Linked DNA regions of Mus musculus. Each later gene encodes a partner of the first gene's protein in a complex. Links are inferred from orthologs where the notes say so. Each region holds a gene or a part of one and is shown in the gene's direction. Other genes may lie near its edges. The genes, in order: Iqcg, Drc7, Drc1, Fbxl13, Iqcd, Efcab2 and Drc3.

Region 1 (4,242 bases):
CCAATTTCTCACTAACACCCCTACCTTTTCAGTAGAAAAAACGAGATTAGTCAACCAAAAATTAAAAGGCATGGGAGCATACTTACTTTTTTGCCTTATACACATAAGCACATCTCTTGCCTAAGTAGAACTCCGTTTCATCTCGGGCATAAACGCCTTCAATTTTAAGAAGAGCCGTGTGCTCTCTTTGGTTCCGGAGACCTCGCTTGTAGCCAGCAAAAATGGCCTTGCACCACAGCCTAAGACAACGTTAAGAAAGACATGATGACTACCCCGTTACAACTTTTCATGTATCTTTTAGCAAGCCACCATGATTTGCTTTGTAGCAATTCCTACTCCAGCTATCTACAGCAGACCTCTCGTTCCCCTCCCGCATTACACTGAACTTTAGCTTCGCGTTTAATAGAACGAAACAGAAATGGAGAAAACGACTATTGTGAGATCGCGTACCTTCCAGACATACTTGCTGTTAGAAGTCCTGTTCCCAGCAGGCCTGAAAAACAAAACCGAGAGCTCAACCGAGAGTCATGCAGCACGCATCCCACCTGTCACTATTTCCCGGCGCGAGAGATGGCTTCAGTCGGCGTCCCAAGGATGGGGACCTCTTACCTACGCCCTGCCCCCTATAGAGGCAGAGCCTGGCAAAATACTCAGGGCTCCGACAACCAATGACAACGAACGACTCGGAATCGTGGGCAAAGGCCGGGTGGGAAGGCGACTCACCCGAGACTTAACTTCTCAAACCCCAAAAGGAACCCGGAGGCGAGCTCATGCCTCCATCAGTACAGAAAGCAGCTAACACAGGCGAGATCCGGCTCTGTGCGGGGAACCCAGCTCCCAGGGACCACCGCTCCCCGGGCCAGTAAGACCGGGGGAAATGCACCCATTCTCTCCTCCCGAGCCGGAGATCGACCGAGACCAGCGAGCTCTCCTCCCCCGGCCGGGGCCTCCACACCATCAGCCCGTCATCGCCTCCATCCCGCCCTCCATCCTCCTGGAATCCCCAGAAACCTCTGGCGGTCGGGTTCTCCGAGACGCCAGGTTGTCTCGGTGAGGGATGAAACTAAACGCACCCCAGCAATCGGGCCCCAAAGCTCAGCAGCAGGAACCCCCCTCACCTCCACAGGCGCCAAGATGGCGGAAAGAGGAAGGCAAGCCCCGCCGCGCGGCCTTGTGGGACGCACGCCCCGCCCCTCTCCGCGCTTAGGCCGCTCACACTGCGCCAGAAAGCAAAGGTCAGAGACAGAGAGAGAGGCTCGACTCAGCCAAGCCGCGCTCAAGAACTTTAAATTCTTTCCCTCCTGCCCTTTCGTCTTTGTAAGCGGCAACACGTATTATTTAGGAACAAGGAAAGGCAAAATCGTAGTCGACTAAGAAAGAATCAGGGGTCCTACTTAAAAAAAAAAAAGAGCTTGCGCGACGCGTTGCCATAGCTACCGATTAGTTTGGTTCCCGCCTCCAGCTGGGCTGGTAGAGAGGTAAGGAAAAGTTAAGTGTTTTCTCCTCTTCCTAGAATGGAGACTGGGATCCTACCATATAGGAGAGAAAAACCTGGAGCATGAAGGCAGGAGTTTCTCTTGATTTGTTCTTTTATTTTTTCCCATCTTTAATTTAACAAACAGGGTGTGGTAGCCGTTGCCCGTTAACCTCAGCATTTATTCCGGAGACTGAGGTAGGAGGATCACATCACAAATTCGAGGCTAGGCTAAGTTACATAGCAAGGCCCCATCTTAACAGCAACAAACATCCATGAGGCAAACCGCGGTCCCGGTGCTTGCTTGTAACCCCAGTATTCTAGCTGTGCGAGCAGGTGAATAGGACTTAAAAGACCATCCTCTGCTACATAGGGAGTGCCAGTCAGCCTGAGCTACATGAGACCCCATCTGAAAAAAAGGGAGACGATGTGAGGAAGTGAGAGATAGAAGATATCCTTCCATCCTTTCCCTGACTTGTCGGATGCAGATAAATTTTTTAAAATTCATTTATTTATTATATGTAAGTACACTATATCTGTCTTCAGACACTCCAGAAGAGGGAGCTAGATCTCGTTATGGCTCCATGTGGTTGCTGGGATTTGAACTCTGAACCTTCGGAAGAGCAGTCAGGTGCTCTTACCCACTGAGCCATCTCACCAGCCCACAGATAAATTTAATAGACTCAGATTTACAGTTCCTAACTTGTGCATTAATTAAGGCGAACTGATGGATCCATTCATTTAATCAGAGAGTAATTTATTGAATGACTACCACTACCAAGAATGCTGTAGGCTTGTAGGGCACCAGAGTAAACAGACTAAAACGTCTGCCCTCTTGCAGCCTACATGAGGGAGCAAGGATGGCATGTTGGCTCTGGTGTCTGTAATCCTTGCACTTAGAAGGTTGAAGTATGAAGATTGCTCTGTTTTAGGTCAGTAAGAGGTACATTATGTGTACACAGATATCCTGAGCTACAGAGTAAGAAATCTCATCCTTGCTCCCTCACTCCTCGCAAAAAAAAAAAAAAAAAAAAAACAAGACAACAAGCAGATTAGACATGTGGTATGTTAAAAGGTCAAGACTTCCTTTCTTTTCCTTTTTTTTTTTTTTTTTTTTTTTTTTTTTTTTTTTTTTTTTTGGTTTTTCAAGACAGGGTTTCTCTGTATAACCCTGGCTGTCCTGGAACTCACTCTGTAGACCAGGCTGGCCTCAAATTCAGAAATCCGCCTGCCTCTCCCTCCCGAGTGCTGGGATTAAATGCGTGAGCCACCACCGCCCAGCAAGACTTCCTTTTTAAAAACCTGTTTATGTGTGTGCTTTCAGAGGTCGGAAGATGGCCTCAGACTCTAGAGCTAGATTTTACATGCAACTTGTTATTGTTATTGTTGTTGTTTTGTTTTGAGACAGGGACTAGAGAAATGTCTCAATGTTTAAGGGCATACACTGTTTTTAAAGAGGTCTTCAGTTCAGTTCCCAGCATCTACATCAGGGACTCACAATTACCTATAACTTCAGCGCTAGGAAATCTGCTGTATGCACACAGTGCACATAGAGACAAGCAGGCACATACACATTTTTTTTTAAAGCCATTAACAAGAAGGACAAAGTCTCATGTAGCTTAGGCTGGCCCCAAACTCCCTGTATTGAGCCAAGGATGGCCTCTTCTGACACACCAGAAGAGGGTGTCAGATCTCATTACAAATGGTTGTGAGCTACCATATGATTGCTGGAATTTGAACTCAGGACCCTCTGGAAGAGCACTGATTGCTTTTAACCGCTTAGCCATCTTGTCAGCCCAAACTCGATTTCTCTAAGTCAAGTTACAGTAAATTCTGTTCTCTGATAGAGCAGGGCAGAAATATTTAATTTAATATATAAGTGAGAATAATAGAAGAAATTAAAGAATCAAAAATAAATCTGAAGCTGGGCGTTGGTGGCACATGCCTTTAATCGCAGCACTTGGGAGGCAGAGGCAGGCAGGTTTCTGAGTTCAAGGCCAGCCTGGTCTACAAAGTGAGTTCCAGGACAGCCAGGGCTATACAGAGAAACCCTGTCTTGAAAGAAAAAAAAAAAAAAAAGTTCTCTGTTGATTCACAGTCAAACTCAGAGTACAAGTACACACATTAAAATTGTGTTAGATGTCAATTTACCGTAAAAAGAGGCAAAAGACTACCTTGAGTATAACTTCTGGTTTGATGAACCAGTAATGGAGCCAGCCACTTAGTAAGCCTACATCTACCCTGTCTGGAAAACAACAACAACAAAAACAAGCCTGCATCTTATGAGCCTGCTTCCCTAAGCAGGAGGAGACAAGCTATAGATAGCTCTTGGGATTCTGTGGGGTTTTTGTTTGTTTGTTTGTTTTGTTTTGTTTTCTCTCCTACAAAAAGAGCCTGAGAGTAAAGGGAAAAAAATTAGCATTCCCTGGAACTGATATCAATGTTTCTTTTCTACTTTAGGTTCCTTCATTCTTGTGAAATTATAAATCTAGCCCAGAGGGCAAGGAAAGAAACTGAGGAAGAATGGACGAGTATGTTTCAAGTTCCGGTTTGTTTGTCCCTGTACTGTTGCAATTACGCCATTTGTTGAATTCGGTGGATTACTTTTCGGTAACAATGTAACCAACTAATGTAACGCCCTAAAGTATAAACACCTTCCCATTTCAGCGCTGCTGTGGGGTGGGCGCTTGAGGGCGTTTAGCAAGTGACTCTGGTGTGGGATCTGGGCCAGTTAAGCTTTCCCTGTCTGTGGGACAAAATGTCACACA
Region 2 (3,500 bases), on another chromosome or scaffold:
GTGTGGGGGTGGTGGTGGGGTACTTCCTACATGGAGAAAGGAGAGACTAGGAGGCAAATTCCCCCTGCTTTAGGAATCTTCCATGTCTCCTTTATGTGTAAAACTAGGGTGAGGGTCACTGTGTTTGGTATCCATAGCAACAATAACAGGTGTATCAGTCGCCTAGCATTGCCATAAGGGAGTACTACAAAGTGGAAGTTCCACACTCCCAGAGGCTGGAAATTCAGGATCAAAGGTGCTGCTGGCAGGGCTGGTTTCTTCCAAATTCCTCTGGGTTTGCTGGTAGCCATGAGCACTGTAGCTTTATCTGACTCTCTCTCTCTGAATCTGTGTCCTTTATCTCATAAGGACACTTAGCATATTGCAATAGAACCACCTGAAGACCCAATTTAGACTCCATTGCCTTACCCATAAAGTCCGTACTTCCAAATGCAACAGGATTCATAGTTACTGGGGCGGTGTGTGTGTGTGTGTGTGTGTGTGTGTGTGTGTGTGTGTATACTTTAGCATATGATTTTAGAGGTAGGTTGAGGAAGCCCACATCAACAGGCAACACTGCGGGGACAGGTTCTGCTCCTGCCGCAGAATCTGAGTTCACTCATTTAAATCCCCGCTTCCTGGGTAGCTGAGGACAGCTTATACACAGCAGAGCAAAAGGAGACACCAAAGGTGTCTCACCCAATAAGTGAGAGCTAGGAACCAAACCCCAACAGTCTGGCTGCCTTCTCAGGGGGGTGATTATTCAGCTCTGACGGCTGCCTAAGAATGACTGAGGCCAGCTGGGCGGTGGTGGCTCACGCCTTTAATCCCAGCACTCGGGAGGCAGTGGCAGGTGGATTTCTGAGTTCGAGGCCAGCCTGGTCTACAAAGTGAGTTCCAGGGCAGCCAGGACTATACAGAGAAACCCTGTCTCAAGAAGAAAAACAAACGACAAACAACAAACAACAACAACAACAACACAACAAGAATGACTGAAGTGGCCCTGTTCTCCTTCTCCTTGATTCTGAGCACTGGTGTCCCTGCTGGCTGTGGGCTATGTACCCTTCAACTCAGGAGCCTGCTCCTTCTGGAAGCCCTGTCACATCCCTGGAATGGGAATCCTGGTCCCTCCATCATGGACAGATGATAGATCCTGAGAATCAGCCCTCAGCTGCAGGGCCAGACCTGGGATTCCTGGGCTGTCTCAAAAAAGTTACTATTGCTTGCCGCCAACCCATCGATCACCTTGTGTGATCTCAAAAGAAGTCACAATTAGATGAGCAAGCACCCAAGGCCTGAGCATTGTTTCTGGCAAAAGTATATACACAGGAAATCTTGAGCTGGGTCTGAGGATCACTTGTCTAGACCAGGCCTTATTTCACAGACCAGGGAAGAACAGCCATGCAGGGCCCAAGACTTATTCACAATATCTATTAGTCCTCCCAAGAGGCCCAGTAAACAGCTAAGGAAACCTAGGCTTAAGAGTGGATGGAAAACTTACCCAGCCCTCCTTACCTGGTGCTAGGTACAGTCAAAGACTGTACTCCCTCTGACTCAGGATCCCCTCTCTGAGTAGCCATTATGGCTGCAGGTGGTTTGGCATGAGAACCAGTGCTACCATCTTAGACCACGCAAAGAGGGAGTAGGGGTCCACCCAAACCTACTCCTCTCCTCCCCTAACCTGGGTCATCTTCTGACTTCTTGCTCTTCCGGGGAAACTGACAGCCCCCTTAGCAAGTCTGGGTCTGGGGTAGGGGAACAGAACTGTGCCATGGCCTCTGCTCCAAGGCCCTGGCCAGCAACCACCTCTTTTCCTCACAGGGCAAAGAAGAGGAGGATAAGAGCTTTGACATGCCGTCTTCGTGGGTCTCCCAGATTGAGATCACCCCAGAAGGTCTCTGTCACTCACTGGTTCTCAGCCCACAGCTCAGCAGAGGAGCCGTAGAGGCTTCCTGGGCCCTTCTTCCCAGCCCCTCTCAACACCCTGCCAGCTCTGTACTCAGAGCCTGACCCTACCTGCCACACAACTGGACTGTTACCATTATGAGCACCGAGGTCCGGGGACATGGTCTCTTTCTTCCCTTTCCCCGGATCCCCTGTTCAGAGGAGGCCATGGGCAGAACATGGAGTATATGGTGCCATGGGGCCAGGCCACAGGAAAAAAATAGGCAAAGAAGGCAAGAGGCTGGGTTATCCTTTGCCCAATGTCTACATATGCCCACCTGGAAATGCCTAGATCAGAAGAAGGGCATAGGCTGTTCCAGCAGGTGGCAAAGTGCTACAGAAGTGGTCATGAACCCTGGGGTAGGAGCACCCATTACATCCTAGATAAGGCATGGAGGCAAAATGGGTCTTAAGAGGTAGTAGTCATTGGGGCTGGGTTTTGAAGGATCAGATGTCTTTCTAGCACATTATTCTCAGTGGTGAAGGCCTGGCAGGGGAAAGGAGTGGCTGGATCACAGATATGATTCTCAGGTAGCCCTGGGATGCTGGCTCGCCCAAGAATACCTTGGGAAGAGTTGAAGCCAGCACTGGCAGGTATTTTCTTCCTCCTTGGAGCTGGTTCTGGGCCTGGAGGCACTTTATAGGCAACACAGACAATGGACAAGCATCCAGGAAGGGGTGGAAGGAAAGACCCCAGCTCCCTCTACATCCACAGAGTTTGAGACCCGTTGTCCCAGTGGGAAGAAAGTGATACAGTACAAGAAGGCACAGCTGGAGAAGTGGTCCCCATACCTCAACAACAACGGCCTGGTGTGTCGCCTCACCACCTACGAGGACCAACAGTGTAAGGCACCTTGGGGGCACGGAATGGGGAAAACAAGGAGATGCCGTGCTTGGTGACTCCGGGTAAATCAGTTCTAGTGTGTGTGTGTGTGTGTGTGTGTGTGTGTGTGTGTGTGTATGGCAGAGGCCAGAGGAGCTGGTCTGCCTGCAGCAACCATCTCTGTGTCCCCACAGGCACAAAGGTTCTAGAGATAAAGGAGTGGTACCAGAACCGGGAGGATATGCTAGAGCTGAAGCACATCAACAAGACCACAGGCCTGCACGTGGACTACTTCAAGCCAGGCCATCCCCAAGCTCTGTGTGGTGTGTGGATCCCCTGGCTGGGCAGACCAAGGGCCGTGGTTGGGGAGGGGCGTTTACATACGATGACACTGATGGGAAGAACCGACCCTAGGCATCACGGAGGGCCTTGGGTGGCAAGCATGGGCATTACCTCTGACTCTGTAAGATAAGGTGGTGTGTGGTCAGCTGAGGAAGCCCAGAAAGGGAAGACACCATGACCATCGGCTCTCTAGGAAAGTCAAAGCCAGGGCCACATGCTGTTCTGTGCCTGGGATCAGGCCGGAATCTCCTCCAGAGGGTACATGATATGGGCCACATGTAAAGGGTCTAAGAATGCTGGGCCATAAAGCCAACTAGCACCACCAAAGAGGCAACGTAGGAGCAGAGTGGCCACTGTATGGCTCTATGGCTAGGAGTCCATGAGGTCGGGAAGAGGGGAAAGAAAGAACGTG
Region 3 (4,296 bases), on another chromosome or scaffold:
TCTTCTGGGCTTTCCTATTATAGAGGATTAGGTTTTACACAGCAAACTCATTCTTTTTTTTTTTTTTTTTTTTTCGAGACAGGGTTTCTCTGTAGCCTTGGCTGTCCTGGAACTCACTTTGTAGGCCAGGCTGGCCTCGAACTCAGAAATCCGCCTGCCTCTGCCTCCTGAGTGCTGGGATTAAAGGCGTGTGCCACCACCCCCAGCAGCAAACTCATTCTTGCATTGCAACTTCCCTAAGCCATAAAACCCCTTCATCATCAAGGAATGTCTAGCATGTCTGAGTCCCTAAGTTCAGTCTCCAATGCTACAAAAATAAAACTGTCGAGTGGTTTGCATTAGGGATAGTGTCTTGAAATGTAGCCCTGCTTGGCCTAGAACTTTACAGTCTTCCTATCTCAGCCTCCCAGAGGGCTGATTGTGAACCACTATGTCTGCATGTCTGTGTGTATTATTATTATAAGGGTGGGTATTATTATTATTATTATTTTGGTATAGGGCTTTACATTTCTTATTTTAATTTAGTTTAGAAATGGAGTCTCATTGTGTTCCAGGATGACCTGGAACACAATCCTGAGTTCTGGGATTACAGGAGTGGTGTTTTTGTTTTGTTTTGTGTGTCCTGTCCAAGGTGCTCCAACGAACCAACTGGTGTAGGTAAACCCTTTACCATTGAGCCGTACCACAAGCCCACAGGCATAGTTTTAATTCTTAAAGAGAACATTAAAAAACAACAACAAAAAAAAAACCACTTTTTACACCTATGATTTTGTGTGCCCATATGCCACTGTGGCATGTGAAGGTCAAAGGACAATTTATCAGTACTGGTACTTTTTCCATAGTGTGGGCCTAAAGGATTGAACTCAGTTGGTCACTCTCCTTGGCCATAAACATTGACTGCTGAGCCTTCTCTCTGGCCCCAGGACATTATTTTGTTGACAAGGGGACACACGGTGCCTAAGGCATGATGTCCCCCCCCCCGCCCCCGCAGACTGCTGCTTTGAGAGAGCGGTGGTGTCCTGGGTTCTTCCCCGCCCCCCCCCCCCCAACCATTCTCCTGAACCCACCTCTTTTTCGGTCATGGCTACAGATGATGAGTGTACTTGAGTTCACACTTCCAAAACTGCAATGGGCTGAGGTGGTCTCCCACTCAGCTTAAGGAAAGGACGCCACTGTCTCTAGCTATATAATACAATGCTTTTCATGTTGCAGGTACTCAGTTATTTTGGAGCAAAGTGCCTTTTAGGAATATTCATTTGGTAAGGTGGATGATGAATTGGGCTTTTGAGTCAGAAAGAGATGCGGTGCGGTTTGTTCCATCTGCCTTCGTGGGGTCAAGTCAGCCCCTCCAAACCAACTTCAGGCAAGGGGAATCAAGTCCACATTTGGGATACAAATATACAACTCGTAGTGCCTGACAGAGAAGCTGGGCTGGAGCGCCGCGCGACAGCTAGCCAGAGATGGGTCAGGTGACTGCTTTCCCTTGGCAACGGCTTGTTCCTAGCAACCCGGCTGCTGGTCCAGGCGGAGCTGCCAGTGGGTGGGAGACGCCGCCATGAATCCCTCAGGAACCATTGGGGTCCTAGAGCAGAATGGGGAAGAACACTTAGCCACCCCGATTCTCGGACCCTCGGTGCATTCGGATAACCCGCAGGAGCGGATCCAGGCCCGGCGCCTGCGCATCGCTGCTCGTCAGGAAGCCCGAAGGCGGTGAGCTGGGTGGCCGGGTGGTGCGATGGGGAGCCCAGAGTGCCCTGCAGGGAGCTGGGGCCGGGCTGGGTGGGAGCTCCATGGTAAGGTGTGTGTGTGTGTGTGTGTGTGTGTGTGTGTGTGTGTGTGCGCGCGCGCGCCCTGGGTGTAAACAGAAAAACTTTTCTTCTAGAACATTCAAGCAGTGAGTTTTGGGACAGCTAGGGCTACATAATGAGACCCTGTCCCAATATTTGAAAATAAAAATAAAAAAGTTCTAGGTCAGATTTATTCCAGAGGCTAGAGTTTGTTGACGAGATGTAATGGACCGCGATCTGTGAAAGAGTCGGTTATCCCCATTCTACTGAGAATACCTTATCACAGCCAGTGAGCATATGTGATTGTGTGTTCCACACAGATATGAGCATCTTGATCCATTTTAAAATTAAAAAATAAAATAAAATAAAGCCAGGTTAGTGGCTTATGCCTTTAATCTCAGTACTGGAGTGGCAGAGGCAGGCAAATCTCTTTGAGATCAAGGCTAGCCTAGTCTACGTAGGAAGGCCTTGACACCTCAAAATAAAAATAAAATAAGAGTAAAAGCTTTCATTTCACTTAGTGGCCACACTCCCTGGGCCCAAGGCCATGTCGACGGATCTACTGTAGCAAAGGCGGGGTGGCTGCTTGCTTGTGCTTGCGGACATTGATGATCATTGTCTAGAATCCATCCAGGTACTGCAAGTGCCAGACCTGTGAATTAAGAGGGGATGTGATAGGAGCCACCACACTTGCATTCCCACCATGTTCCCTAGGCTTTGGTGTCTTTATTAGCTTAGGTAAAGTTTAAGGGACATCCACTAGTCACCAGACTTCATGTGACAGTTGTTCAACTTCTAAGTCGTTCATTCCACTTTTACTTTTGGTGGTCTACAGACCCAGCAGAAGTACAAGATGGAGGTCTGTGTGCCTCCATCCTAGTTGGGCAAGGCTGTGATCATGGTTAGCATCTCTTGTTGTCATGGTAACTCAGATCTGTTTTTAATTGTCCTAACACTGTCTGGGTATCCCCTTCCCTGACAGTTCCCTGATGACCTTCAATCCCCTTGGGGAAAGGCTAGGAGCCTCACTACATTATGTATTTGCATTGTGTTCTCTGTTCTTCCTCCTGGGATCCCTGCCACCTCTTTGGTTAGGAGGTTCTGGGATGAGAACTGGGGTTGGTTCAGGAACTGGGCAAGGCAGAAGCATCCTTAGTAAGCTTGTCTGTTGCTGCTGTTTGGCTAACAGATGAACTGGACTCTTATCTGCTCTTCTACTTGTCTCCAAGTGATGCCACATTTATCCATCTCCAAAGCTGTCCGAGGATCATGGTCTTGGTTGTTGCTGTGGTGTTTAACAAGGAGACTGGGGGGCTGGAGAGATGGCTCAGTGGTTAAGAACTCTGACTGCTCTTCTGAAGGCCCTGAGTTCAAATCACAGCAACCACATGGTGGCTCACAACCATCCGTAATGAGATCTGATGTGCTCTTTTGGTGTGTCTGAAGACAGCTATAGTGTGCTTACATATAATAATAAATAAACCTTAAAAACAAAACAAAAACAAAAACAAAAAAGCAGGCCAGGTGGTGGTGGCGCACGCCTTTAATCCTAGCACTTGGAAGCAGAGGCAGGCAGATTTCTGAGTTCGAGGCCAGCCTGGTGTACAGAGTGGGTTCCAGGACAGCCAGGGCTATACAGAGAAACCCTGTCTCGAAAAACCAAAACAAACAAACAAAAACAAAAAAGCAAAGCAAACAAACAAACAAGCAAAAAAAAAAAAACCCAAAGAGACTGGGAATTCAGTGATGTGCAGGAAGTTTATATTCTAATGAGAGAGAGAGGACAAGTGTCCCTATAACTATGATCTATGACAAGGACAGCAAGGGGAGAGGAGACTCCTGGGAGTAGGCCCTAAAGCCAGGCAGCTAGAAAGGATAGCTTGGAGCTTGAGAAAAAGCTAGCTTTGTAAGGAGGCACTGCTGGGTTACTTTAAGACATTGTCAGGCGTGGTGGCACACACCTTTATTCCCAGCACTTGGGAGGTAGAGGCAGGAGGATCTCTGAGTTCAAGGCCAGCTTAGTCTACAAAGAGAGTTCCAGGATGTCCAGGGCTACAAAGAGAAATTCTGTCTTGTAGGGGTTGGGGTGGGGAGATATTTGTTGGGTGTGATAATAGCATGTGATAATGTCTAAACAAAATTAAGGCCACTTTCCTGATGGGCAGAGCGTCACTTTCACCTTCAAATTATTCAGCTCACTGTTTTGGGGACTGGTGTAAAGGGGCTGGAGGTGTGACTGAGGAGACCCGAGCAGGAAGGAGACACTACTCTGGTTCTGGTGAGGCACGGGATTGGCCTGGACTCTGTGTCAATAATCTAGAGAGAAGCAGATGGACGCAGGACAAATTTTGAAGTTGAATGTGATGGATGCTTCTGATTGGCTGTTTGAACAGAAGACAGTGTGACCTCTATATGTGTGCCATGGTTTGAGTACACACACACACATACACACACACACACACACACACACACACACACACACAAGACAAATGAATAGATAAATATTATT
Region 4 (4,081 bases), on another chromosome or scaffold:
TTAAAAACAAATATATTTCTCTACCTTTGAGGCAAGCAGGTATTGGTTGGCAGGTTTTATTTCAAATAGTTTTTCCAACAGTTTTCACGACTTAAGCCATCCTTTTAGAAGGGTGTGTCTCCTGTTGGTTGTGGTTCTTATTCCCAACACACACACCCCGGTTGCAGGGACGCTACGGATGACTTAAAGGTACTTCCCAGGACAGGTGCCACAAAGTGCTGGCAGAATTGCATCTCAGGGATCCATTCTTCACATAGCACGAGCAAAGTTTCAACCCAGGCTTGAGGCCCCTGAGAACCTTCTCACAGTAAGGGGCATCTCTTTGATAACAACACAAAAGCTCAGGTAAAACTTTAAAATGAGAGGCAATCTACTTGGCTCGGAGAAACCTCAGCTCTTGGCTGTGAAGCCGAAGGGAAGTAACAGGACACTTCGGGCAATGTTTTCAGCTCTTATTTTAAACAAAGAAGTGGGAGCAGGGAAGCGGCTCAGGACCCACCCAAGGCAACCTGGGCTTCCAGAGTCGTCTGTCTACCTCCAGCCTTTCTCCCCATGCAGTCGCGGGTGTCTAGGGCACCTCCAACCCAGCCTGGCCTGAGGTGGGTCCGGAGCCCCGAACCAGTCCACCTGCCGGGCAGCCCATCGCCTCACCTGCGGATCGCGAAGGGCGCAGTCGGCGACCGCCTCGCCGCGGTCCCCGAGTCAGCCGGTAGATACAGTAGCAGGCGCCGGCGCCCAGGACCAGCCCTGCTGCCACCCAGCCCACGTCCCGCGCGCCACCCATGCTGCTGCCTCGGAGCTGCAGGGAGCCGAGGAGCCAGGGCCACACGCAGGTGCAGCTGGGCCAGAACCAGCCCAGAGAAAGGAAATGGGGTTGGAGCTCCGCCTTCCGGAAGCCGCCCTGCTAAAATCGGAAGCCCTCCCACCCTGTGTGCTGCGGTTCCTTTCACCAGGCAGGCGGGATGCCCCTAGTGCAAGCAGCTTTTTCCTGGACCAAGACCGGGACTGCGGCGCGTTGAACACAGACCCTAGCTCCGCCCCAACACTCACTCTCCCGTCCAGCCCTCTCATTTTACCCGGCCCCGGCCTGTACTGTCCTGCCCCGCCCCTCCCCGCTCTGCCCCGCCTCTCTGCACTCGCCCCGCCCCTCTCTGCCCCGCCCCTCTGCAATCGCCCCGCCCCGCCCCAGTTGCCCCGCCCCCTCCCTGCTAGGTTCTTTCTTCATCTCGCGAAAGGCTTGGACTATTTGGCACCTCCTTTGTGGTTGCTAGGCAACGCTCCGGCGCGTCTCTCCTCCTCAACGTGAACAGCAGTAACCTATGAAACGCATTCTGAGTCCTGCTTCTGACCATGGCTTCACTACGCAGTGCCACCCCCAGGCTAAGGAGCTACTTCAGGGACAAGTACATTCCTCAAATCTGTGAGGTACTGCAGCCACATAGCCTCTCACACAGTGGGCGCGGGGAAAAACTGGGAGAGGCAAGGAGATTCCCGGAACTGGAGCTAAGAAGGAGCAGGATGGGGAAGCTTGAAGTCAATTTAGGGTAACTAGAGAGAGAAGGGTAGGTTAGAGAAGACCGAAGGGTGCCGGTGGCTAAAACCAAGCCCAGGTGGGGATGACAAAGGAAGGGGACGGGGGAAAGTGACAATCTGCAGGGGGCGCAAAGAGCACAGGGCCTGGGTTGGAATCTCCAAGTGTCAACTACTAAATTCTATTATGGAAGAGCGTCTTGAGCAAGAAGTGAGTGGTGAGCCACTTGAAGACAAAAGACTTGAGGGGTTCTGGGTGTAGGCTTCGCCCCGCCTCGTTGTTAGCAGGAGGGAAGAAGAGTCACCTGCCTCTACACACAGCTTCACAACACACCTTTTTAGAGATCGCCACCAAGCAAAACCTGAGGTCTTGGTTTCAACAAAGAAATGAATTTCGGGGCCAACTTGTATGAAGCAAAGCTGGCTTCATTAAACGCAGGAACAAAGGTGCTCCAGTAGAGAGAGTAGAACACACCTGGTCAGACAATTGCGGGCTTCTGAAGGGAGAGTCGACCTTAAGTGTTGTCTTCACAATGCTGACATCAGTATTTTTTCTTGTGACTTTCAAGGTTACATTTCTAAATGTTGCCAAGAAACTACTACCCCTTTTCTTTTTCTTTCTTAATTTCTTTATTCACTTACTTCCCGATTGCAGCCCACCCCTCTCCTCCCCTCCCAGTCCCTTACAAGCCCCTCCCCCACTACCCCCTTCCCCCTATCAGAGGAGAAGGGAAAACCCTCCTTGGGTACCACCCCAGAGTCCCAGAAGGATAAACATTCCCCTTTTATTAACATCACCCAAAGAGTATAGTCTGTAACAAAGTTAGATTAAAAACCGAAGTTTCTTTTTCTCTCAGTAACTAACATATAGTGCATTTATGAACAGCTTCATTTAGTTCTGGGAGTGGGGAGGCCAGGAATTCAAGATAATGTGTCATTTTGACCTTATGTAAGCAGAGCCTAATTACTGGCCTCGACATCCTTGGTTGAAGTGTCTGGAGATACAGCACCCAGCCTCAAGTGAGCACAGTTGAAGTCCATTAGGTTCTTACCCGCAGACTTAAAGTCCTTTCTGAGCAGTGAAAGTAGATCAGTTCTGAAGGAGCAGGGTTTCCTCCTCTACCTCCGCCTCCAGTCCCCTCCAGTCCCCTCCAGTCCCCTCATTCTGCCCTGCCTCGGGAGGACAGTATGGTATTGAAAACCAGGTTTTGTACTCCTGGGGGCAGGGAGCTGAGAAATCACTGGTGACTCCCATTTATCTGTATGTTATGTTACGCGGTGTATGTTATGTGGTGATACAGCGGGAGTTCTGAAATGGGGCGAATGAGGGAGTTCTAAGGGAGAGAGAAGAGTGCCATTCAACCTCCAGGGCAATTGGGCACAACACTTCCTTTTAGGATGGCTTTTCCCCGTGATTTTATCCAGATGATCCCTTCAGTCACCTCTGCTCACACATTAACAGCAGGGGCAAGACAGGTTTTGGGCACACTCATTCACTTTCCCTCAGACCATTAAGGTGACTTCTATTCTGCCAGGTCTCTCTGTACTTTGTACTTGTTGCAGTTATCTATGCATGTTTGACCTCTTCTGAACATTGCCTGTGTGTTCTAAGTAAACCTAGTTGTCCATCCACAACACTGTTTCCCTACAAACCTGTGTACACTCTGATAAAGGAAAAACCCAAACCAAAGCCTACCCATGCCAGTGGTTTGTAATGGTTTGTAAACTCTTACTTGCCAGGGAGACTGAGGCTGAAGCTTGCTTGAGCCCAGGCATAGGGATGGTAAGACTCAAAAATAAAAAACACAACCAAAAAATAAGCAAAATAAAACCTCAACACCAAACCAAACCAAACCAAAACCACAACACTTGCCTGATCTACTAAGCTTATTGAATCTGCTGATTGATATTTAATTTTCATTGGTTTTGGAACCAATTACTTAAATCTATTGTTATTTTTACCCAATTCTTTTCTATTATAGGAATCCAATCATGAATATAATAAAATTCTACCCTTGTCCTCTGTTTTAGCTTTTGTCCAGCTACCTCTTTTTTGTCTTCTGGATGATATTTTGGATATTTTTCATTGACTTATTTAGTGGATTGCTAACTTTACTAATTCTGCTTTTTGTTACATCTCATCCCATCTGTTGAATACAATAAGTGAAATCTTAATTGTAGATAATGTATTTTTCAGTCTTGGAATGCCCATTGATTCCTTTTAATGCATTCCACTTATTAAAATTATAAAGATACTTTTTCATCTATTTTGCTATAATCTCCTGTTTTCAAACATGTTAATGATTGTTTTGTAAAAATCACTCTCTGGAAAGCTGGTCACACATGTCTATAATCCCAGTTCTTGGGGAGCTAGGACAAGAGGCTTGCTTTGAGGCCAGGCTGGGCCACATGTTGAGTTCAAGACACTTGGTAAGCCTGAATAAAACAAAAACAAGAAGAAACACAGGTTCCTTCAACATCTGGATAATTTTTGGGTCTGTTGTCTGTTGTTTCTTTTCTTCCAGTAATTACCTCTACACACTGAGTGATT
Region 5 (3,981 bases), on another chromosome or scaffold:
TTCCTAGAAACTGCACTCCACTTAGGCGAAATCCACCAACCGCTTTCTTGTTTTTTGTCTTTGGTGGTAGGGATATCCCTATGGAGCTTTGAAGCTTTGAAGTTGCCATTCTCCTGCCTTTGCCTCCTGAAGAGCCTATGACTTTTCAAAGAGAAAGAAACGGGGCCCAGAGAGGGTAAGTAAACTGTCCAAGGTCACACAGCAGACTCGGAGCTCCTAAGGTCCAGCCCTTTGGCAGACCTTGGTTCTCTCTCTAGCGGAGACCCAGCGAGTCACCCCTGGGGTAAGGTCACCCCTGGAAGAAGGTCCCGGAATCAGATAGCTAGCTGCCATCCTGCGATCTGTCCCCTGAGGCAGACTGACCCAGGCAGGAGTCCCCGGCCAGGTCACAAGAGGACACAGCAGGGAGGTGAGCAGGGAGGAAGGGTCGCTCGGGGGCTCTAGCTCCCCACGATCCCCATCGCGATCCGGGTCGCCCCAGGAAGTCAGGCCAAAGAAAAGGGGTGCAGAGAGAAGGGGATCCGCAAGGAGAGAGCATGCCGGCCACCTCCCAGGGCCCCGCCTCGGGCTTCTGGAGCACTCAGCCCCAGCCCCTTCTCTGCACCTTCTGACCCCTGACCCTTGCCCTCGGGCCAAGATCGCGCACCCCTCGGATCCTTACACGCGCCGTCCCGGGATCCCGCACTGTGCACTGGGTCTGCACAGCGTAGCTCAGCCCGCAGTTGCCGCCGCCAATATCCCCAGCGCGGAGCCTCAGCAGCCGCCACCGCCGCCTCACCGCTGCCACAGCGGCAGCTGCGCCAGCCTTCGCATCCGCCGACTCCTGTCACTCAGCCCCGAAAGCCCCGCCCACGGCCCTAGGCCACAGCCTACTGGCCATCAGAGGGGTCGCAATGAAATTTGACAGGGTAGACTACACGTCACTCAGCGTTCTCACAGCCCTCCTCCCAAAGGGAGGGCGGGGCGAGGAAGCAACACCCCTTTCCTCCCCACCCCACCCCCACCCCCGCCTCACTCGCGCAACCAACAGGAATCCTGCGTCTTTCCATTGGCGAAACGTCAGAGAGGCGGGGATTTTGATTGGCCATCTTTCAGGAGGCGGAGCCAACGCAACCCGATTCGAAGTTAAATGGTGAAAAAGAATGTCAGTCAAACTCAAAGTCCCGCCTTCTAAGAGTGGCTCGTAACCTAGCAACATAAGGGCCGCCGAGTTGCTTAACTGTGGGCCAAGAAACTTGCATCTTGAGGAGCTGGTGAGTGACAGCGGGGAAGCCCCAGGCTGCAGGCTGTGTGCACCTAGTAGGCACGCCGTCCAGTGATTTCTCCCCTCCAGGCGTCCGCGCCCCACTTGCCATCCCGTCCAGCTCCAGGTCCTCACTCCCTTGCCCAACCTCCATCCTGTCCTCCTCTAGGCCTCCTGCAAGCACCATCAAGTATCCTCTTCTGATAGTCTTGCTTCCTGTCTGGTCCACCTGCCATTTCATAGTCCCTCTCCTCATCTCTTACTGATACCATTTGTGAAGTTCACATCGAGTGAACTTAGTTCAAGTAATTGGATGGGTTGGTTTGTTTTGGTGCCCACTGTCCGCACTATGTTCAGAGGTCAGCTTGCTGGGTGCGTGACCCCCTTCAGTGTATGCTTAAAATAAGGATTTGTTGTTTGTTTTGATTTTGGAACAAGGTCTCACTATGTAGTCTCGAACTCACTCTGTAGACCAGGCTAGCCTCAGACTCACAGAGATCCACCAGTCTTTGCCTTTGAGTACTGGGATTAAAAGCATGTGCCACCACCCTTGGTCTAATTAGGTTTTTTCCCCTTTAATTGTTAAAGTTTTATTATCATTATTAATATTATTATCACTATGTCTGCGTTGGTGGGGTATGTGAATGTGAATACAGACAAAGGGTTTTGGATCCTCTGGAGCTAAAATTAATTACGGGTGGGCAGTTGTGAGCCACCTGTCATAGGTGCAGGGGACTAAACTCTAGTCCTTTCAAAAAGCCGTACACGCTCTTTTAAAATAACGTAAAGCTTTATTTATTTTTACTTTATATGTATCTGTGGGTGCCTACGTGTATGTGAGTGCACAAGGTATGTTCACAACGTGTGTGTGCTGTGACTGCCAGGCTAATTGCAGTGATCCCCGCCACGACTTATTCTACCCTAACTCCCTCTGTCTAAGCATTTCCTAGGACATTCTCTTGGCTCATACAACGAATAATTCACATATTTAACATGGGCTTATTGAGTGCTTAGTGTGTGTCTTAGTTAGGTTTTGACTGCTCGCTTTACACCTTGACCAAGGCAACTCTTGTAAGGACAACATTTATTTGGGGCTGGCTCACAGGTTCAGAGGTTCAGTCCATTATCATCAAGGTGGGAGCATGGCAGCATCCAGGCAGGCATGGTGCAGGACGAACTGAGAATTCTACATCTTCATCTGAAGGCTGCTAGCGGAAGACTGACTTCCAGGCAGCTAGGATGAAGGTCTTTTGTTTGTTTGTTCTTGTTTTTCGAGACAGGGTTTCTCTGTATAACCCTGGCTGTCCTGGAACTCGCTTTATAGGCCAGGCTGGCCTCGAACTCAGAAATCCGCCAGCCTCTGCCTCCAGAGTGCTAGGATCAAAGGTGTGCGCCACCACGCCCAGTTTAGGATGAAGGTCTTAAAGCCCACACCCACAGTGACGCACCTACAACAAGGCCACACCCACTCCAACAGGGCCACACCCACTCCAGCAAGGCCACACCTACTCCAACAGGGCGTTCTAAAAGTGCCACTCCCTGGGCCGGGCATATATAAACCATAACAGTATGGTTAGTGACGGCAGTCTGAGTTGCATGAAATCCTGTCTGAAATGGGAGGGCTGGAATGATAGCTTAGACATTTAGACATTACACTGTTTTTGTAGAGGGCCCTCAGTTCCTAGCATTCATGAGTCACAACTGCCTGTAACTCGACTTCAGGTGATCCAGCGCCCTCTACTGGCCCAAAAGACACCTGCACTCATGAACATCATGCATGCACGCATGCATGCACGCGCACGCACACACACTTTTTCTTTGAGGTCCTAGTGAGAGTTCTTGGAATTAAAAGTGATTAAAAATCAAGAACACTTGAAACAGAACATCAGGGTAAAGTATCTCTGAACTTCAGCTTTTATTATAGCAACGGGCTAGATCCTGTAGCCAATGAAAATATTTTAACCTGAATGCTCTCAAATGCAGGAAACTTTTTCCTTTTAATGGACAAAGAAATGCATCTCCTCTTCTACTCTCAGTGCAGGCTTAATTATTGAAAGAATAACGCGGGTTCACACTGCACCAAACACCAGGCAAATACGAAGTCTGTGCTTCCTCTATTAATTATGTTGATATCTTATACTCTGGTAACTAATATTTTTTAAAGATGAAGGGTTTATTTTCTTATTCTGTGTGTCACACCTGGCTCTTACATGAGTATGAAGGAGCTTCAGATTCAAGCATTTTACTGACAGAGCCATTTCTCTAGCCTGCATTTTAAGTTCTGTTTTATTTACTTCCTGTGTGTACGTGTGTGCATGTGTATGTGTTGTGGATATGTATTCATGTGTGTATGTGTGTGTGCACGATATGTATGTATGCATATGCATGTGGATGTGTGTATAAGGATGTGCATGTATTGTGTATTGTGTGCATGTGGATGCATGTGCATGTGTGTGTATGTGTGCATGCATGCTTGTTCACTTATGCATGCATGTGTGTGTGTGCATGTGTATATGCATGTATATGTGTATTCATGTGATTATATGTGTATGTATGCCTGGCAGTGGTGGCGCATGCCTTTAATCCCAGCACTTGGAAGGCAGAGGCAGGCAGATTTCTGAGTTCGAGGCCAGCCTGGTCTACAGAGTGAGTTCCAGGACAGCCAGAGCTACACAGAGAAACCTGTCTTGAAAAACCAAAAAAAAAAAAAAAAGTGTATATGTGTGTGTGTGCATGTG
Region 6 (4,182 bases), on another chromosome or scaffold:
ATAAAATATTAATATAAATTACTCTTCCATATTTTGGGGTGATTAATTTACTGTATGCTTGAGTTCATCTTGGAAGTCTTTCTTTTCTTTCTTTTCCTTTCTTTCTTTCTCTTTCTTTTTGTTTTATTGTTTTGTTTTTGTTTTTGTTTTTGTTTTTTTGAGACAGGGTTTCTCTGTGTAGCCCTGGCTGTCCTGGAACTCACTCTGTAGACCAGGCTGGCCTCGAACTCAGAAATCTGCCTGCCTCTGCCTCCTGAGTGCTGGGGAAATTTGCTTGATATGCACCATTTTCTGATTATTCAAATTGTAGTTAGACACTTCATCAAATCTTTATTGCCTATAGAAAAAAATATTTTAATGAAGAGTACAGTTGGCCTGCTTTGAGGGTTCATTCACTGAGATTACAGAACTTCGATGAATAAAAACTAATAATAAAAAATAAAATACTGAGATGTAAAGTGAATAAATAACTATATTAAAGAAAAATCAAGACAAAACAAAGGCCTCTACATTTAGTTACTTTTACAAAAATATTTAAATAAGTACACATATACCATGAAATTATCATTAAAGATTAAAACTAGATATTAATTTGAGTCACATTGTTAGACATTTCAAAACTGTTGGGTTTTTTTTGTTTGTTTGTTTGTTTGTTTGTTTTGGGGGGGTTTCATTTAAGGGAGAATCTTAGTATTCTGAGCTTATCCATCAAATAACAAAACACGCGATAGCCAAGTTTCTCAGTACTCAAAATTCTCATCGGAAGGTCATGCCAAATTGCACCATCAACATACAAAATGTGTGTATCCCTGAGAACAGACCGTCAATTTATTTGTTGCTATGAGAACACTATTTTGTATCAGAAATTGCAGCCTTGGCGACGCAGTGTTTGCGCCTATTTTGCACATGTTTTTCTACAGCAAGTCCTCTCTCTCTCTCTCTCTCTCTCTCTCTCTCTCTCTCTCTCTCTCTCTCTCTGCGATCCCGGGGAAAGGCTGGGCTTCCTCCTGCACTGGCCCATGTCCGTTTTCGCTCCAGTTCCGTGACTGGCAGAGTGGCTCCGCTCAGGAGAGGGTGACGCCAGAGAGCCACAAGGCCTGGCTCGGGTGGGGTTGGGGTGGGCGGACGCTTTTCGGGGAGGGACCGTGTAAGGGGCCGCCAGGTCTGCGCCCGGTTCTGGGGCGCACCTGAGACGGCCGGGAAAAAAAAAAGCTGAATAAAATAAGTAATTAAAGAAATGAATAAAGAAATAAGCAAGGCACACTACGTCCTTGACAGTCACAATCAGGCCCAGGCGGGTTCCGGAGCCTTGTTAATAAATGACGCCCCTAGGCCCAAAGAACGCGGGCCTCGGTTCTGGTGGGGGCGGGGATCGGGGGGCCACCGTGCATCCAGGGGCTTTCTCCGCCCGCGGGGTCCCGCAGGGTTCGTGCTGGATGTCTCCCGGGCGACCGGCTCCGCACCAAGATGGCGGAGGAAAGGGACGCGGAAGGGACAGGTAGGACCCTGCCTGGGGTGCCACGACGTCGCCTCTGCGCCTGAGGAAGCGCCCCCCGGCCAACATCTTGAGCCCCTCGGCGTGGCGACAGTGGGCTGAAAAGCGGCGCCAGCCCGCGTCCCCACCGTCCGCCCTCCCGTCCCCTCGAGAGGTCTGCGCGGGCTGTTGTAGCCCCCGCCGGGGAGGTTCATAATGGCGTCCTTGTCCCTGGCACCTCCCCTCCCCGTGAGGGCGCCAGCCGCGGTCTGGGTGGGCTGTGGGTAACCCGGAGGGCGGCCTCATGGAGGACTGGAGCTGCGACTAGAACCTGGCGGGATCCTCTGCGGCTGTGCCGAAACCCCGCCCAGCCCGGCCCAACCCGGCCCCAGCCGCCTCCATTTTGCCTCCTCCTCCGCCAGGCGGAGCGCAGCCTCCAGGTCAGACTGGGCCCTAGCGGCCCGGGTCGCGCTAGAGCCTTGCATAAGGAACACGCACTTTAATCACTTTAAAGAAAACCCAGCCGGGACTTGTCGGGCCGCCCAGACCGGCCGGGTACCCGAGAGGCCTCAGGGGACCCGAAAAACTAATGTTTCATGTTGAACTGCAAGACCTTTTGAATTGTTGCTAACCCAGCCGAATGACTTAAAATCGGATCTGTGACTCAACAGCCATTACGTGATAAATTGACAACATCACCGCTAAATAAATAGTCAAGCAAGCCCTAAAATAGTAAATGGCAAACATTGCAAAAAAAGTGAAAGTAACACTCCATCTTTGCTGACTCTCTCCCCTCCCTCTTGTATTCCCCCACCCCCACCCCCACCCTCTGGTTTGGAACACAGTAGTTAGGTTAACAACTAATATTTACACGAGTTGTTTAGTCCATTGTCATGGTGATTACAGGAACCCAGCAGGGAAACTTGAGACCCTAGATTTTTTTTTTTTTTTTTTTTTTGGTTTTGGCTGTCCTGGAACTCACTTTGTAGACCTGGCTGGCCTCGAACTCAGAAATCCGCCTGCTTCTGCCTCCGGAGTGCTGGGATTAAAGGCGTGCGCCACCACTCCTGGCAGCTAGAGATCTTATTGATGACCTGTGATTTATAGATGGTAAAATTAATCTCAGAAGTCGGCATTGTAGTATAGAGTTTTAACTCTACTAAGGTATCAAGATTTTTGTGGTGCTATTTTAGAAATGGAAGGTTTTATTCTACTTTTTTGTTGTTGTTTTTACAAAGAATATGAAGTTAGAGGGCAGGGAGTGTCGGTGAGGTGTTGGGGGAAGGGAAAGAATATGATCAAAATATGTTGTATAAAAAATGTTTTAGGTGAGTCGGGGGTGGTGGTGCACACCTTTAATCCCAGCACTTGGGAGGCAGAGGCAGGCAGATTTCTGAGTTCGAGGCCAGCCTGGTCCTACAAAGTAAGTTCCAGGACAACAAGGGCTACACAGAGAAACCCTGTCTCAAAAAAAAAAAAAAAAAAAAGTTTTAGGTAAAAAAAAAAAAAAAGCTTCCCCAGAAAGTATTTTTTTTTTTTTAGTTATACTTTTATTACCCCCCTCAAAAAAAGTAAAGGAGAAAATCATTAGGGGATGAATTATTTTTTAAATTAATTTACCTTATGTGTATTGGTGTATTGCCTTTGTGTATGTCCTTGTGAGGGTGTCGGATCCCCCAGAACTGGAGTTGCAGATGGTTGTGAGCTGCCATGTGTGTTCTGGGAATTGATCCAGGATTCTCTGGAAGAGCAGGTAGTGCTTCTAACCTCTGAGCCATCTGTTTTTTTGTTTTTTGGGTTTTTTTTTTGTTTTGTTTTGTTTTTTAAACAAAATCTAAATCATTTGGTTTTACCAATGAAAACCCGGGAGCCAGAATCTGTGGTGAAAGTTTGCTAGCTCAGAGAAGCAGAGAAAGCACCCAGCTGACCCTGCTCCTCAGCCAGTGTCCCAGACATTGTTTTTTTTTTTTTTTTTTTTTTTTTAAATAATCCTATGTTTACTCTCTGTCAATTGGTTGCTTGTTCCACCTCTTAACTTATGGTTGACTTTATTTAATTTTGTTTATAATATTCAAGCAGAGAACTCTTGGATAAATGCATATGCTAAAGCTGAAACACACCACAACTAGAGACACAATAGGTGTTATTAACACAGTGGGAACAAATATCCATCTCTCCAGACCCCTCCTTTTCTTTTTAAGTTAAAGACTTATTTAGGGTAGCATTGGAGTATACTGCAAGTTTTTACAATGTAAAATTATACACACACACACACACACACACACACACAACACTTAGGATCTCACCTTGTAGCTTTGATTGGTCTGGAACTCCCAGAGATGCACCTGTCTGCATCTGAGTGAGTGCTGTGACTAAAACTGTGTGCCACCACACCCAGCCTGATTTTTACAGTTGTTATCCCTGCTTGAGAGAGACAGAGACAGACAGAATTTCTGTTTCTTTAGTTTCCAAAACATATTTTAATGTTTAGTGTAAGTTTAGGAGAAAAAACAGTTCAGTCTGCAACTAACTGTGGAAGTAATGGCTGTTGAAAGCTGGATTTCATATATTCAATTTCTTATATATTTAATGCTTGCTTCATGGAAAGTAGTCTGGTGAATGTTAAACCTGAAAATTGTGATGAGGAAGATGGAATCCATGGTTGTCCAACTGAAGTAAGCTTTATTAAATACTGGCCAGGAAGATGG
Region 7 (3,500 bases), on another chromosome or scaffold:
ACTCAGGAAGGGTGTAGAGGGGAGAAGCTGTTGTATGTGGTTCCAGTTCTGTGGCAGCAAGGAAAGCACCTCTGCTTCCCGCTCCCCAGATCATCTACCTGCGCCGGTTCCCGTGCCTGCGAACACTCAGTCTCGCTGGGAATCCCGTTTCTGAGGCAGAGGAGTACAAGATGTTCATCTATGCCTATCTTTCTGACCTCGTGTACTTGGACTTCCGGCGCGTTGATGAGCAGATGGTAAGCATCCTGGCTCTGTTCTCAGTGGGAGTCATGAGACAGTGAGACGCTCTCCCTGTCCATGGCTAAGAGAGCATGTTTTCCTGGCTGAGCCATTTCCCCTCCTGTGCACAGCCACTCCAGCAATAGTCTCCCAAGGCTTATCTCCTGTATGTTTCCAGGCCTCGGCTGCTTCTACACAACAGCCCACCAGGTGAAGACTCTAGGTGATTGAGGGAAGATGGACAGTAAATTGTCTTGATCATGAGCTGGTGGCAGGGCTCGTATGAGCCTGGGAGCAATTCCATAGCAATTCCCTGAGGGTTGTCACTCCAAGCTGGGAGGGCCCCACTCTCATCCCCATCTTTCTGGAAGCACATAAGCTGGCAACCAAGGGAAGCGACTCACCAAGACTCTCCTGGTCAGTTACAGTTAATCTTGGAGTTGGTCTTTCATCCCCATGCTGGGCCAGCTATAGTGTGTATGCATGTGTGTGTTTGTGTGCACGCGCGCACCCATTTCTTCCTGACTCTGTCACCTCTTCCTTGCCATAAGGAATATCTGGACAGTGAAATGCTATCCTAGTGTCTACCCAAATACAGACAGCCGATATACCTACAGCTTGTATAGAGAGCCCTGCCTTGAGGGACAAGCTGGTTTCCAAAGTCCAGTCTCAGTGCTGTTCACAGAAATAAGAGAAATTAGAGAGCTGCTTCCCCATCTCCGACTACAGTGGGCTTTCCTGTGAAAGTATGAACTTGAGTATTTCTCTTGTTCTCCCAGTATGTGTGCGTGGGTGGTCTTGAACTATACAGCCAAGAATAACCTTGAACTCCTGATTCTTCTGCCTCAGTTTCCTAAATGCTGGGATTACAGATATGTAGTGCCTGGCTCTGAGATTTTTAATTCTGAGAATTATTCATTTATTTTATATATATGAGTATACTGTAGCTGTCTTCAGACACACCAGAAGAGGGCATCAGATCCCATTACAGATGGTTGTGAGCCACCATGTGGTTGCTGGAATTGAACTCAGGACCTCTGGAAGAGCAGTCAGTGCTCTTAACCGCTGAGTCATCTCTCCAGCCCTAGTTCTGAGATTCTTAAATCCAATGGTTATGGTGACACACTACTGTAACCTCAGAATTTAAGAAACTGAGGCAAGAGGATCAATAGTTTGAGGCAGCCTGAGCTAGATTCAGGACATCCTCAGTTACTCTAACTTCATCTCAAAAAATTAAAGACCAACCAAGCAAACAAGCACTGCCTTTAACCCCAGTCCTGTCTCAGAGCAGGTTCTGACAATGTTCCCCTCTTGTAAACCCTTTTTACCTGAGAAAATATCCATGTCTATGGGTAAGTGCTGATGAAACAGTTATAAGTAATGAATCATAAAGAATTTTATTTTAAAACAATTCTTTGGTATGCATAAAATCTTACCTTTTGTTAAATGCAGGCTTAGAGCTCACGCAGGCCAAGCGCTTGCCACAAGTTTGATCTCCAGAAAGGAGATTTAAAAGCCACGTGTGAGGGGCTGGGGAGATGGTTCAGAGGTCATGAGCACTGGCTGTTCTTCCACAAGACCTGATTCAATTTGTAGCACCCATGGGTGCTCCACAATCTCCTGTAACTCTACCCTAGAGGAATCCAAGTCCCTCTTCTGGCCTCAGTGTGCAGCATGCACGTGATACAGTGATGATACACGGACATCATTCAGCCCAGACACTCACACACATAACATAAAGTAAATAAAATCTTTTAAAAGCCGGGTGCGGTGGCGCACGCCTTTAATCCCAGCACTCGGGAGGCAGAGGCAGGCAGATTTCTGAGTTCGAGGCCAGCCTGGTCTACAGAGTGAGTTCCAGGACAGCCAGGGCTATACAGAGAAACCCTGTCTCGAAAAAACAAAAACAAAACAAAAAAAAAAACCAAAAACCAAAACAAAACAAAACAAAACAAAATCTTTTAAAAAGCCAGGCGTGGTCCAGGAAGATGTCTGAGCTAGTAAAGGCACCTGAAACCAATTCCCAGGCCCCACATGGTGGACAGAGAGAACTGACTTCCACAAGTTGCCCTCTGATCATTTATATGTTGTCGTGTGTGTGTGTGTGTGTGTGTGTGTGTGTGTGTGTGTACATATAGGCAAAGCATTCGTACACAAAATAAATTAAATGTAAAAAAAAAAAGACGAAGATCAGGTGCCTTTAATTCCAGCACTTAGGAGGCAGAAGCAGGCAGATTTCTGTGGGTTTGAGACCAGCCTGATCTGTCTCTAACATGAGGCCAGCCAGAGCTATGTAGAGAGATCCTGTCTTAAACAAACATTAAATCTTGGCTAGATATATAAACCACAAGATGCAGAGAAACTTCAATGGTTTTAAGAGCTGATTAATATTTTGATTTTTTTAATTCTCAATGAGAATAAATGTGTGGAATAAATACATACTATAAAATGGTAGAATTATGTTAGAGCCATTTCAGAAATTGTTGAGGGCTCAGCAAAATAGTTGAGTGTATCCAGTGCTATATAAGCCTGGAGACTTGAGGTTAAGCCCCAGAACCTACATAAGGCTGGAAGGAGAGAAATCACTTACATTGCCCCTTGGTTCATGCTTCTACACACACACATATACAGCATATATAATAATAATAATAATAATAATAATAATAATAATAATAATAATAAAATCTTAATTTGGGTGGATTCTGTCCTAATCCCAAGTCAAAATTCATTTAATGAAACTCTTCAGCAACTCAAATAGCCTTTTTTTTTTCTTTTTTGGTTTTTTTGAGACAGAGTTTTTCCATGGAGGCCTGGCTGTCCTGGAACTCATTCTGTAGACCAGGCTGGCCTGGAACTCAGAAATCCGCCTGCCTCTGCCTCCCAAGTGCTGGGATTAAAGGCATGTGCCACCACTGCCTGGCCTCAAATAGCATTTTTAAAAACCAAACATCCTAACATAATACAACCAAAAACTATACTAATGGTACTTATATGCCAAAGGACAATGGCAGGAAAATATTTAAAGTATTTTCTGAAATTAAACAATTATGTTTCTATGACAGCAGGAAACTTCTTATGTACAGAAAACACCATTTCATGTCTGATCAGGGGAGGGTGGGGGTATCTGGCAGCATGAGGTGACAGTCATATGCACACAAGGTATGGTAGATAACAGTCATGTGCACACAGGGTATGGTAGGTGACAGTCATATGCACACAAGGTATGGGTAGGTGACAGTCATGTGCACACAGGGTATGGTAGGTGACAGTCATGAGCACAC

What was found.
Region 2: Iqcg (region 1) and Drc7 share a complex: the UniProt entries of both Homo sapiens proteins name them as parts of the nexin-dynein regulatory complex. The link is inferred for Mus musculus from reciprocal best matches to the Homo sapiens genes DRC9 and DRC7.
Region 3: Iqcg (region 1) and Drc1 share a complex: the UniProt entries of both Homo sapiens proteins name them as parts of the nexin-dynein regulatory complex. The link is inferred for Mus musculus from reciprocal best matches to the Homo sapiens genes DRC9 and DRC1.
Region 4: Iqcg (region 1) and Fbxl13 share a complex: the UniProt entries of both Homo sapiens proteins name them as parts of the nexin-dynein regulatory complex. The link is inferred for Mus musculus from reciprocal best matches to the Homo sapiens genes DRC9 and FBXL13.
Region 5: Iqcg (region 1) and Iqcd share a complex: the UniProt entries of both Homo sapiens proteins name them as parts of the nexin-dynein regulatory complex. The link is inferred for Mus musculus from reciprocal best matches to the Homo sapiens genes DRC9 and DRC10.
Region 6: Iqcg (region 1) and Efcab2 share a complex: the UniProt entries of both Homo sapiens proteins name them as parts of the nexin-dynein regulatory complex. The link is inferred for Mus musculus from reciprocal best matches to the Homo sapiens genes DRC9 and DRC8.
Region 7: Iqcg (region 1) and Drc3 share a complex: the UniProt entries of both Homo sapiens proteins name them as parts of the nexin-dynein regulatory complex. The link is inferred for Mus musculus from reciprocal best matches to the Homo sapiens genes DRC9 and DRC3.

What each region holds. Positions count from the first base shown.
Region 1 is NC_000082.6:33,053,387-33,057,628, reverse strand, and holds the start of Iqcg (dynein regulatory complex protein 9), read left to right. Parts: upstream 1-1,442; 5' UTR 1,443-1,478; intron 1,479-1,586; exon of another isoform or gene 1,587-1,672; intron 1,673-3,934; 5' UTR 3,935-3,997; coding exon 3,998-4,005; exon of another isoform or gene 4,006-4,084; intron 4,085-4,242. Other genes in the region: Rpl35a (60S ribosomal protein L35a), read right to left, coding at 87-239, 451-461. UniProt on the Homo sapiens protein: Component of the nexin-dynein regulatory complex (N-DRC), a key regulator of ciliary/flagellar motility which maintains the alignment and integrity of the distal axoneme and regulates microtubule sliding in motile axonemes.
Region 2 is NC_000074.6:95,068,603-95,072,102, forward strand, and holds part of Drc7 (dynein regulatory complex subunit 7), read left to right. Parts: intron 1-1,800; coding exon 1,801-1,873; intron 1,874-2,638; coding exon 2,639-2,767; intron 2,768-2,940; coding exon 2,941-3,069; intron 3,070-3,500. UniProt on the Homo sapiens protein: Component of the nexin-dynein regulatory complex (N-DRC) a key regulator of ciliary/flagellar motility which maintains the alignment and integrity of the distal axoneme and regulates microtubule sliding in motile axonemes.
Region 3 is NC_000071.6:30,279,897-30,284,192, forward strand, and holds the start of Drc1 (dynein regulatory complex protein 1), read left to right. Parts: upstream 1-1,496; 5' UTR 1,497-1,555; coding exon 1,556-1,710; intron 1,711-4,296. UniProt on the Homo sapiens protein: Component of the nexin-dynein regulatory complex (N-DRC) a key regulator of ciliary/flagellar motility which maintains the alignment and integrity of the distal axoneme and regulates microtubule sliding in motile axonemes.
Region 4 is NC_000071.6:21,642,806-21,646,886, reverse strand, and holds the start of Fbxl13 (dynein regulatory complex subunit 6), read left to right. Parts: upstream 1-1,281; 5' UTR 1,282-1,350; coding exon 1,351-1,425; intron 1,426-4,081. Other genes in the region: Armc10 (armadillo repeat-containing protein 10), read right to left, coding at 652-784. UniProt on the Homo sapiens protein: Substrate-recognition component of the SCF (SKP1-CUL1-F-box protein)-type E3 ubiquitin ligase complex.
Region 5 is NC_000071.6:120,587,842-120,591,822, forward strand, and holds the start of Iqcd (dynein regulatory complex protein 10), read left to right. Parts: upstream 1-1,181; 5' UTR 1,182-1,253; intron 1,254-3,981. UniProt on the Homo sapiens protein: Component of the nexin-dynein regulatory complex (N-DRC), a key regulator of ciliary/flagellar motility which maintains the alignment and integrity of the distal axoneme and regulates microtubule sliding in motile axonemes.
Region 6 is NC_000067.6:178,404,636-178,408,817, forward strand, and holds the start of Efcab2 (dynein regulatory complex protein 8), read left to right. Parts: upstream 1-1,382; 5' UTR 1,383-1,467; coding exon 1,468-1,498; intron 1,499-4,182. UniProt on the Homo sapiens protein: Component of the nexin-dynein regulatory complex (N-DRC), a key regulator of ciliary/flagellar motility which maintains the alignment and integrity of the distal axoneme and regulates microtubule sliding in motile axonemes.
Region 7 is NC_000077.6:60,370,380-60,373,879, forward strand, and holds part of Drc3 (dynein regulatory complex subunit 3), read left to right. Parts: intron 1-89; coding exon 90-236; intron 237-3,500. UniProt on the Homo sapiens protein: Component of the nexin-dynein regulatory complex (N-DRC) a key regulator of ciliary/flagellar motility which maintains the alignment and integrity of the distal axoneme and regulates microtubule sliding in motile axonemes.